Linked DNA regions of Caenorhabditis elegans. The protein of the gene in region 1 interacts with the protein of each later gene in a pairwise test. Each region holds a gene or a part of one and is shown in the gene's direction. Other genes may lie near its edges.

The links.
Region 2: the proteins of crn-1 (region 1) and idpb-4 interact in a two-hybrid assay, tested with the Caenorhabditis elegans proteins (one large-scale study listed by BioGRID).
Region 3: the proteins of crn-1 (region 1) and xdh-1 interact in a two-hybrid assay, tested with the Caenorhabditis elegans proteins (one large-scale study listed by BioGRID).

What each region holds. Positions count from the first base shown.
Region 1 is NC_003279.8:3,480,068-3,483,823, forward strand, and holds the start of crn-1 (Flap endonuclease 1), read left to right. Parts: upstream 1-1,929; 5' UTR 1,930-1,962; coding exon 1,963-2,052; intron 2,053-2,396; coding exon 2,397-3,104; intron 3,105-3,756. Other genes in the region: Y47G6A.9 (DNA-directed RNA polymerase III subunit), read left to right, coding at 1-161, 443-627, 1,118-1,282. UniProt on the Caenorhabditis elegans protein: Structure-specific nuclease with 5'-flap endonuclease and 5'-3' exonuclease activities involved in DNA replication and repair.
Region 2 is NC_003280.10:8,736,163-8,739,649, reverse strand, and holds idpb-4 (Intrinsically Disordered Protein, class B), read left to right. Parts: upstream 1-2,093; 5' UTR 2,094-2,126; coding exon 2,127-2,186; intron 2,187-2,240; coding exon 2,241-2,449; intron 2,450-2,590; coding exon 2,591-2,816; 3' UTR 2,817-2,924; downstream 2,925-3,487.
Region 3 is NC_003282.8:14,410,903-14,414,658, reverse strand, and holds the start of xdh-1 (xanthine dehydrogenase), read left to right. Parts: upstream 1-1,764; 5' UTR 1,765-1,772; coding exon 1,773-1,902; intron 1,903-1,980; exon of another isoform or gene 1,981-2,001; intron 2,002-2,096; coding exon 2,097-2,187; intron 2,188-2,292; exon of another isoform or gene 2,293-2,313; intron 2,314-2,368; exon of another isoform or gene 2,369-2,389; intron 2,390-2,432; exon of another isoform or gene 2,433-2,458; intron 2,459-2,547; coding exon 2,548-2,673; intron 2,674-2,691; exon of another isoform or gene 2,692-2,712; intron 2,713-2,836; exon of another isoform or gene 2,837-2,857; intron 2,858-2,886; coding exon 2,887-3,082; intron 3,083-3,148; exon of another isoform or gene 3,149-3,169; intron 3,170-3,328; coding exon 3,329-3,442; intron 3,443-3,501; coding exon 3,502-3,653; intron 3,654-3,719; exon of another isoform or gene 3,720-3,740; intron 3,741-3,756.

The sequences.
Region 1 (3,756 bases):
ACTTGAAATGACGACTGACATGCTCTACGTATCCCGTTTAAAAGTTGAACTTGATCAACGAATGCGTGATTCACAGTTCTTTATTGAAGCAGAGAAAGACGACGAAATTAAGCGTTATTTGGATAAATATTCGAATATTAAGAGGGAAAAGCTTAGCATTGGTACGGAAATCTAGGTGAAATTGTGTCTCAATTTCAGAAAAAACAAAAAAAAAATTTGAAAATTCAACTTTTTGGCTAAATGAGAAGAGCGGCCAATCAGCGATTTGCTCCGCCCATTTTTCAACCAATCAGATGGAATGGGCGGAGTTGGAAGATGCTGATTGGTCGGAGAGTTCGAGGAAATTAGCCAAAAAAAGATTGAATTTTTCTATTTTCTGTAGCGCTTTTTCTGAATTTAAGGCGATTTTTTAACCTTTTCAAATTCATAAAATCCATTTTAGATATGTCCCATATGCCGAATGAGCTCATTTGGCGCCGAGCTAGCTCGAAATCCAAGGAATCTTTGGCAAAACGACGAAAAGTCGCCAATGACGATTCGATGATCAAGGAGAAGTTGAAAAAATTGGAAGAAAAAGAAGCACAGAATAAGGATGATGATGATGACGATGAGAAGGCTGATAATGATGTAATAGATATTTTAATTTCAGATTTTTGACATTTTATATGGGACAGGGCATTTTTTAGCACTTTTTTTTCAGAAAAAATCGAAAAATAATTTTCAGAAAAATCGAAGTAAATAAGTAGAAGAAATGCACGGAAAATGACGAGAAAACTAAAAATCGAAATTTTTCGTTTTTTCGAGAAAAATAATCAAATTTTCAATAATTTCGGGTTATTCCTCATGAATTGCAAAAAAAAAATATTTTCTCATCAAAATTGGCATATCTTTTGATGAATCTAGAGTTTTCTCGTCCCTTTATTTCTGAAAATAAAATTTAATTTTAGTTGAAACATTTGGAAAACTGCTCAAAAAATGTTCGAAAGTTGGAAATTTCTAATTTTCAGACGATTTTTGAGTGGTTTTTCAATTGTTTCAACTAAAATAGGAGCTATTTTCAGATAAATCACTACATTTTAATGAAAATAATTGGAAAAAAATCATATCTTAATTTCAGAAAGACTCTGGCAGTGAAAAATCCGCGGCAGAAGAGGAGGAGAATCCATTATCAGATGATGACAATCAGGAGGAGGATAACGATTACATCTCGGCTTACTTTGATAATGGAGAAGGATATGGGGACGGCGGTAGCGATGATAATTTGGATGCCGATGATATTTAAAGAATCTCCGGACACTTTTTTTGTTGTTTTTGTTGTTTTTCTCTCAATTTTTGAATATCATTGTTAAATATATGAATTTATTTATTGATTTTCCCTTAAATTTAACCCTTTTATTCGTTATTAGCTTCAGATTTAACCAATTGGTTCAGAAAATCGGTTTTTTCAAGGAAAAAAGTGTCCAAATAATGATTACGCAATCGCGCTCCATGGACAACTAATTGAACGCACCGTTTTCCCGCCAAATTGAACGCAGCTCCGATATTTTTTATCCTTTCTTGGGGTTTTTTATAGTGAGAAACACAATTTTAAGCAAATATTTTATTGTTTTTAATCAATTTTAAACGAAAAATATATTAGAATTGTTAATTTATCGTTTCGCAATCTCATACTCATCTTATTTTCTCGAAATCTTGGAGAATATCGGGGGTTTTTCGTTTTTTACGTCAGGAAAGTGCGGCGAAATCCGTATAAATTCGGTGAAATTTCATGAATTTGACTGATATCGTTCGGTAAAACCTAAAAAACCCTATTTAATTGGAGAACAAAAAGGAAAATCGTGTTTTTTTTTCGAAATTCGCTGTAATTCGTTTCCTACCCCCGTTTTCCACTCAAAAATCCACAAACTTCCCAATTTCAGAATATTTCAGATATAAATTCACAAGGACTAACCCCACACCGCTATGGGAATTAAAGGACTCTCCCAAGTGATTGCTGATAATGCTCCCTCCGCGATTAAAGTCAACGAGATGAAGGCGTTCTTCGGAAGAACAGTACGGGAATTTTTTCCTTAGATTTGCAAAATTGAAGGTTCAAAAATTCGAAAAAATAATTTTTTAAAGCGAAAATCTCCAATTTCGTCTACTTTTCTGTGCGCCGCAGTCTGATTTTCATATTTTAAAATATTTTAGTCGTTTATCTCCTGCTATTTTGTTGATTAATGATTTATCGGTTCGACGCGATAAATCAGAAAAATTTGAAGATTTTCAGCTCTAAAATTGGCTCATTTTTACATAATTTTGAACATTTTGAAGAAATTTCCGGGTAAATGTCTTAAATTTCGACGAGTTTTGAGTCTTTACAAGCAAAAAAACAAAAAAAAATGTTTTTTTTTCAGGTAGCAATCGACGCATCAATGTGCCTCTACCAATTCCTCATTGCTGTTCGTCAAGATGGTTCCCAGCTTCAAAGTGAAGATGGAGAAACCACAAGTCACTTGATGGGAATGCTGAATCGTACGGTTCGAATGTTCGAGAACGGAGTGAAGCCTGTCTACGTTTTCGACGGAAAACCACCGGATATGAAGGGTGGAGAGCTTGAAAAACGTTCCGAGCGTCGTGCTGAAGCAGAAAAAGCGCTGACTGAGGCCAAGGAGAAGGGAGATGTTAAGGAAGCGGAGAAGTTCGAGAGAAGACTCGTAAAAGTCACAAAACAACAGAACGACGAGGCGAAGCGTTTGCTGGGATTAATGGGAATTCCAGTTGTCGAGGCTCCATGCGAGGCAGAAGCTCAGTGTGCTCATCTCGTGAAAGCTGGAAAAGTATTCGGAACTGTCACTGAGGATATGGACGCGCTGACCTTCGGCTCCACGGTTCTTCTCAGACATTTCCTGGCTCCAGTCGCCAAGAAAATCCCGATCAAGGAGTTCAATCTTTCTTTGGCTCTCGAAGAAATGAAGCTAAGCGTTGAGGAATTTATTGATTTGTGTATTCTTCTCGGCTGTGACTATTGTGGAACTATTCGAGGCGTCGGGCCTAAGAAGGCTGTTGAGCTGATCAGACAGCACAAGAATATTGAGACGATTCTTGAGAATATCGATCAAAATGTTCGTCGTTCGTAAAATGCCTATTTTATTATAAACGCGCTCCACGGCAAATAAATGCCCCGAACCATGGGTCTCGTTAGGTACTTGCCGGTGAAATCATAAATTCGAATTTTTCACTTAGTTTTGCCTTTTTTTTTAAATTAATTTTGGCATGAAAATCAATGGAAACAACTAAAAAAGCCGAAAAATTCAATAAAAAATTAGCAAATTTTGAACTTACGGTTTTGCCGCCAAATAGCTAACGAGGCCCATTATGCGTGCAAGCGTAATTTTTCGAGAAAAAAAAAATCGAATTTCCAATATTTTCCTGTCATTTTTCAATTTATTGGAGAAAAATTATTTTATTTTTCTCATCAAACTTTAAAAAAAGCTATATTGTTTCTCCTAAAGATTTATTATTGAAAAAATTATGAATTTGTTCGTTTTTCGATTTTTTCTCTGAAAAAAACTCGAAAAATTGAAAAAAAATAAATCGAAAGTTTTCAATGTTTTTTGTGAAAAAACTGACAAAAAAAAGCGGAAATTTTCAGTTTTGTCTAAAAAAATCGAAAAATTTCAATTTCCTACTAGAAAAAACCGAAAAATGGAAAATTTTCTTTTTTCTCTTAAAAAAAATCGAAAAATTTCACTTTCCTTCTAGAAAAAAACCGAA
Region 2 (3,487 bases), on another chromosome or scaffold:
AAATATCCTCATCCTTAATATTAAAATTTATTTGCTTTTTGAACCAATTTTCTAGTAAAATTCTACGTTCGTCAAAGAAAATATGAAACGTAAAGCACAAAGAACACTTGGCACATTTCGGACGTCAGCGGAAGTTTGCTCAAGGCACTGTTTTTTGTCAAGTCATGGATTTACAAAAAACAATGGCGGGAACGCGAACAGGAATGTCTTTGAAATACATGTTTAGTGTGGGAAAAAGTGAAGAGTGTGTCACAGGAAGAATTTTTGAATTTCGGGGAATATTTTCATGATCACTATCAGTTTATTTGTCTAGTTAAGATAAAAGTTTAGGTTTCTCATTTAGTTCGAGTTCTTCACTAATGTTCTACTTCTAGTTGATCTGAATCAAATATTGTGTTCTTGAAAGTCACGAGTGTGCACATCGAACTCCCATTTTGATAACATTTATTTTATGGGAATCACGAATATTTTTGAACTTTTATAGCCCTGTTTATGAGATGATAATATTAAAGATTCAATCAAAAGTTTACATATCAACAACACTATATTCTAGCATAAGAAGAAGACATAAGAAGAGTTTCTCAAATAAAAATCATTTTCTTATCATATTTTATATCCAGTTTTTATGATATTTACAACGAGTTCATCAAATCAATGATTGCACCTATCAAATTTTTAAAAAAGAAAAAGAATAACATGTTTATGAATGTTGCAGATTTTCATTGTTAGAAAGACAATGAAAATTACAGTATCGGACTGATTTTAGAACATTTGATAAAAAGTATGTTCATTGTACATTGTACCGTGATGTACTTTTTCAGTCATTATGCTTCATTAGATTTAAAATGCCCCACGAGAATTGAATTTTCAGTCTTTGTAGCCCATTTTTAGTCTAATGGAAAAAGTCCCAAAACTTTGCTACTCCACCTTTAATTTTAAAAACAATTTTTCCGAATATTCTTTTTTGAAATCTTCCAGATTTGTAATATATTCCAACAATACAGTTACAACATAAACATAAACATTTTTTGCAAGAATCTCAGAGACATCAACCAACATCCCCATTTTACAAGTGTTGTTTTTCTTTTCTTATCACAACACATCTCACCAACGATCAATGTCAATTTAACAAACCAATAGTAGTATTACATAGTGATAAGCGATTTTCGATGACCCAGCTCTATCATTTTGCTGTGTTTTGTTTTGTTTACTGATCGGCTGCTGATCAAAGGGCTTGAATATTCCGAAATGATCAACTGTCAACAAGATACGCAAACATAATTGTCTGAGAGCTTCTACTACATTCAAGTCAGGGCGTATCCTAGAAAAAACATAGAAGACTGGCATTGTGACGTCCCGGTCCTCAATCGGAATGTATCAATTATGAGACATCATCATCATTGCCAATTAAGTATGTCGGAGTTGGCATACATTTTATGTTGGCATACATTTTTACGTATCATCTCCATTTCACTATCACTGGCACTTCATTCATTTTTTTGTGTCTTCTGTCTCCTTGTCATATATCCATTCCAAAAACAAAAGTGTGACCTCCGGCGAGTCACCAAATGTGCAAAAAATGTACCTGTGGGCGGTAAATATGATAAAAATAGATGAGTACTTGACGGAAACAAACGAGTAAAGGTGCGAAGACACAAGTAGTTGATGAATGAAAACACAGTTTTTTTTGCACGGAAACAAGAGCTATCTTTGAGTGATTTGATCAGCTAACTATTGTACAAAGTGATTTCATTTTTTTGTAAGTCTGCGATTTGAGGTTGAGATGGGGTATCTTTTTAGACTAAAATGGAAGAAAGAAGCCGAACATCAGTTTAAAAAGAGAAAGATGGAAGCAATAGTTGTTGATGTTCCTACCTAAGAAAGTTCATTTCAAATAAACTAAATTCCAGTCAAGATCCAAGTGATCAACCATCACCAGTGGGTAGCAAAGTTGAGCAACATGCAAATTGTTTGAATTGATCGAGACATTTTGACAGTTTTCCGCGAGTGATTACGATTACGCAACATGTTGGCCAATATCCCTTCCGGAATGGCAATGAAGCCTGTATAAAAGTGAGGAAGAACTTTGGAAACTCACATCATTCTCATTAACTCCTAATCTTATAATGACTACTTCCACTCTTGCGATTCTCCTTGCCATCGGAACTTTTATTGCGGTTTCTCAAGTGAGAATTATTTTTCAATTACTTAATATCTTCTCAATTTTTCAATATTTCCAGGTTCAATCTGCGGTTCTTCCAGTATCATCGACTGAGTTGGCAACTGTTGGAACTGATGTTTCAACAGCTTCAACTGCCATCGACACTCTAGGAAATTCTAGCTCAAGAGTGAAAAGACAAGGAGGATGTGGGTGCTGCGGTTGTGGATGTGGATGTTGTGGATGCGGAGGAGGAGGTGGTGGATGTGGATGCTGCTGTTGTAGACCAAGGTACCCAGTTTTGGAAATACTTGAAGCTATAAAAAATTTTACCAGATTGAGCATATCATGGAATTTTTAAAAATGGAAATTCAATTTTATTATATAGTTTAATTTTATTAATATATAGTAAGCTTTAACTGAAACTTCTAGATGCTGCTGCTGCTGTCGCCGTTGCTGTACCTGCTGTAGAACTTGCTGCTGCACCAGATGCTGCACTTGCTGTCGTCCATGCTGTTGTGGATGTGGATGTGGATGTGGATGCTGTGGATGCGGAGGAGGAGGACGTAAGCGTCGTTCCCTCCAAAACCTCAGAATCGATGATGCTAACCGTGCTCTCGGAATCAAGAGAAAGTCCTCAAAGGCTGACAGATGTTAAATTCAGTTGATTCTTATTTATTTTTGGCACCCAGCTACTTAACTTATTACTAAAATTAGTAATATTTATCCCAATAATAATAATAATAATAAATTTGTGTTGTCCTTAGCTTTTACGGAATAATGGCAGGTGCAAATGGTTATGTTGACACCTTGGCGGCGCCAAATGCAAACACCCAATCAAAGCATTCTCCGAGAATCTAATTTAAACGTTACTTTTTTCGTTGGGTGGTTTTTTTACATTTCAGTTGCGAGGAAAATTTTTAAAAGAATTTTTAAGTCTTAAAAAAATATGATTGAATTTGCAATTCGCGTTTTGTAATTTTGGTATTGAAAAAAAACGCGGTTGTGCTGTGGGGGTAAACAAAACTGATGAAATTCCGAATTAAAGGCAAAAAATACGCAAAAAGGATTTCACTCTCAAATTAGGGTCTCCAGAAGTCGGTACCATTTGTTTATTTTTTGGACCTCTTTTCATGTTCTCGAGGGCATTCTAATTGGATTCACTGACTCTTGGCATCACTGGGGTCCTTCAAAAAGACCTCCTCTTCATTTTTTTTTTGTTTCTTCCCATTTTCTCAATGCTCACAGCAAAAATACACAAACACACACATGAGAGCAATATGAAATTTCATTATTATTCGATTTCCTAGATCTCTTTTTTGCGACTTT
Region 3 (3,756 bases), on another chromosome or scaffold:
TTGTACTCAGTCAATTCTTCATTCCGCGTTGTCTATCTTCTTCTCTCTCACTCAATTTTTGAACTTTTGCCATTTTTATTACTGTTTTACTAACATTATAACAATATATAGCTTAAATGAATATTAATTTTATTATACTTTTTCAAAAAATATTCTAAAAATTATGTTTCAATGCGTCAATCAATTCAAGCTCAAGAGCCTAGTGTGGGAGATAAGGAAACAAAAACTGCACGATGTACTCTTCTTTTAGACGATAAGTGATAAGATAAGAAAATTAGGAGAGAGTGAAGAAAGTGAAGAGACGCAGACACACACAACGTGATTTGATTTTTAAGATAGTGGAATTAAAAGGTTCATATTGAAACTCTGTAATAATCGGGTTTCCAGAATTTTTCCGATTTTTTGTTTGTCACAATTTTTAAAAAAATTTCGTTTGATATTATTTTCTTCTGTAACTTATTAAACTTGTCTTAATAAACTTGCCATTTCAAATATTGCAACTTTCTAGAAATTTTGGAACTGTAATTTTTTATCAAAAGAAATTTGGAAACATTTTTAACACTTTTTTAAAATGATAAACTGGAACAGTGAAAATTTTCAATTTTCTAAATTTCATTAGAGATAAATTCATGAAAATTATGAATTTCTAATAAAAATTCAAATTTTTGGTAATTTTTAAATTTCACTGTTTTCCATTGGCATTATTTGTTCTGAATTTTTATAAAATGTATTAGGTTTTAAATATGGAACTTTTGACCATAATTTTTTTTTGGAAAAAAAATTTCTGTGGAGAAATTGAAGCAGAAAAGGAATCTATTGAGAAATTGAAATAGTAACGAAAAAAAAAACATTTTCTGTTTCAGCGAAATTTTTTAATTGTTTAACAATATATTTTAATGGAATACTGACACGAAAAGACAAAAACATAAAAATACAAAACATTCTGACTCATAGATCACATTATTATCATCAAAACAAATAAAACCAAAAACTGATAAACATAATTAATAATCTAAAGTTCCAAAGTGTCAACTCTGCCGATTTTTGATATTATAAAAACCTCTCAATTCCCGAATCACGTGGTAACCCGCCATGCATGACAATTCGATATACATGACCGCCGCTCAAACTGTGCCGATAACACTTTGAATTTATTCATTTTACTGTTTCTAGTGCAAAAACTCTCCGTTTCGTTGAGTTTTGCACTTTTTAGTAGATAATATTTTGAAAACTAACATTTATTTTTAGATTAAAAACTATTTTTGTTCAAGGTAAATTTAAATTTTTAAACCGATTGCATACCTAATGTGAAAAAATTAAAAAAAAAACTTCGACTGTTTTAGAGAGTATGTTTTAAAAAAGTGAGTTTGTAAAATTTTAGTGGTTCGGCATTTTTTTTAATACATTGAAATTGAAATTCAATTTTTTTTCAGTATCAAGATTGGTGCAGCCGCTGTGAAATGTCACCTTTATCAGTATTTTTGTTGAACTTCTGATTTAATTTTTGACAAAATTCACAGAAAAACGAACATTTGCAGAAATTTTTATCAAAAAAATATTTTTTAGAAATTTCCAATGTTTCATCAAGTAACAATAACTGCCAGAACATATTACACTTTGATGGACGGTTTAAATTAACTTCGAATATTCAAAAAGTTGCAGTTTCAGAATTATTTTAATTTGACTTCTTTTTTTTTAATCTCACTTCTTCGAAGAGTGTTTCACCCCTTCTCTAGAATTAACATCCAATAAATGCCAAATTACAGTAGAAAATGAAGAAAGAAGTAACCGAAATTTCATCGTATGATGCCACAAACTTGGTGTTCTACGTAAACGGAAAACGCGTCGAGGAAAAGGATGTTGACCCAAAAATGACACTGGCAACCTACTTGAGAGATAAATGTGAGTTCTTCGATTTTTGGAAAAAAAATTGCTGTTTCCACTAGGCAATATATACGTGTTTCTAGTTTACAAACGTGATGTGCATGAATTGATCTGAAATTCGAAAAAAGAATTTGATTCAAAACAAGCTATCTAGAAATCGTAAATATATAATCCCAAATAGCTAAAAATTTACGAGTTTATTTTATTTTAAGTGAAGCTCACCGGAACAAAAATTGGATGCAATGAGGGAGGATGTGGTGCCTGTACGATAATGATTAGTCATATTGAAAATGGTGAAATCAAGTGAGTTGGGCATGAATGTTTATTTTTTAATAGTAAGTATAGTAAGAAAATATATTTTCGGTTTCAACAATTATTAACAAATTTGTTTTGCATTGTGCTTTCCATTGCATTTTGCAAGGGTTTTTGTCAGATGTTCTTTCAGCAGAGCCGATATTGATTCTCATCACTTTTAAGGGGTTTTTTCTTGAATTGATATCTTGCATCGTTGTAAAAAAGTATTTGAAATTAAAAAGAAGTTTAAAAATGGTAAGGAACTACTTATCTGAACGTATTAGGAGTTTAAAATAGGAATTGGTAATAACGCCAACTTGAAACAGTACAATTTTTGAGAATGTATTTTTTAAAGCCTAATTGTTCCAGACATTTCTCCGCTAACTCCTGTCTTATGCCAGTTTGTGGAGTTTTTGGAAAAGCCGTAACTACTGTGGAGGGTATTGGAAGTGTCGCCAAGAATCGGCTTCATCCAGTTCAGGAGAGACTTGCCAAGTGAGTTGAATTTTTCGTATTGTCGGGAAAACTTATGGAATAATTTTTAGCAATGTTCAGTTATTAAGAACACTTGTAGAAACAGTCAATTTTTTGTTGTTGAAATTTTAAAAATCTTCTGTTTCAAGGGATCCTTTTAAAAACCTGAGATAATACATTTTATTGTTGTAATCAAAATAATCCTAATCCATTCTTCAACTGTTTTGCTTCCAGAGCTCACGGCTCCCAATGTGGATTCTGCACACCTGGATTCGTCATGGCAATGTATGCTTTGTTGCGTAACAATCCAAATCCTACAATATCCGATATTAATTTGGGTCTACAAGGAAACCTGTGCCGTTGTACGGGTTATCGTCCGATTCTTGAAGCATTCTATAGCTTTGCAGTTGATGAAAGTGGAACTTTGAAGGTAAGTTGGGAACCGGGAAATGTCGGATGCTCAAGAAAAGCTAGAAGGTTGTCTTTAACACTCAATATTGCCGTATCATAAAAAAAAGTAACTAGATATGTTCCACATCAAAACTTAAAAAGTAAAATGAAACAGGAGAGCACTCTTAAATCTTTTTTTTTTTCGGAAAACTTGTTTTTTCAATAGTTTTTTGAGCGCCCGACATTTTCTAGTAATTTTCCCTAAAAAAACTGTCGAATTATCCAGGTCACCGAAGAAAATGGCTGTGGAATGGGAGAAAATTGCTGTAAAGTTAAGAAAACTGCATGCGGAGGCTCCGATGAAACTACACCGGGATACACTGGCGGAGAAAGAAAACGAGTAGGTTTTACTTTGAAATTTACAAATTAAAAATTAAAAATTACATGAAAATATTTCAGAAAATCCAACTGAGTGACATGTCGGACTGCAAACCATACGATCCAACTCAAGAGCTCATTTTTCCACCGGAGCTCAAGCTTCATGGATATGAGTCCATGTCGTTTGCCTATGATCATCATCACACCAAATGGTATCAACCTGTCAGTTATGAGTGAGTTTTTTTTTAATTGGATTTGTGAAATTAAACACTCATTAGTTTTGTATTTTCTCATTAGTTTTGTATTCAAAATAGAGAAAAACGCTCATTAAAAGTG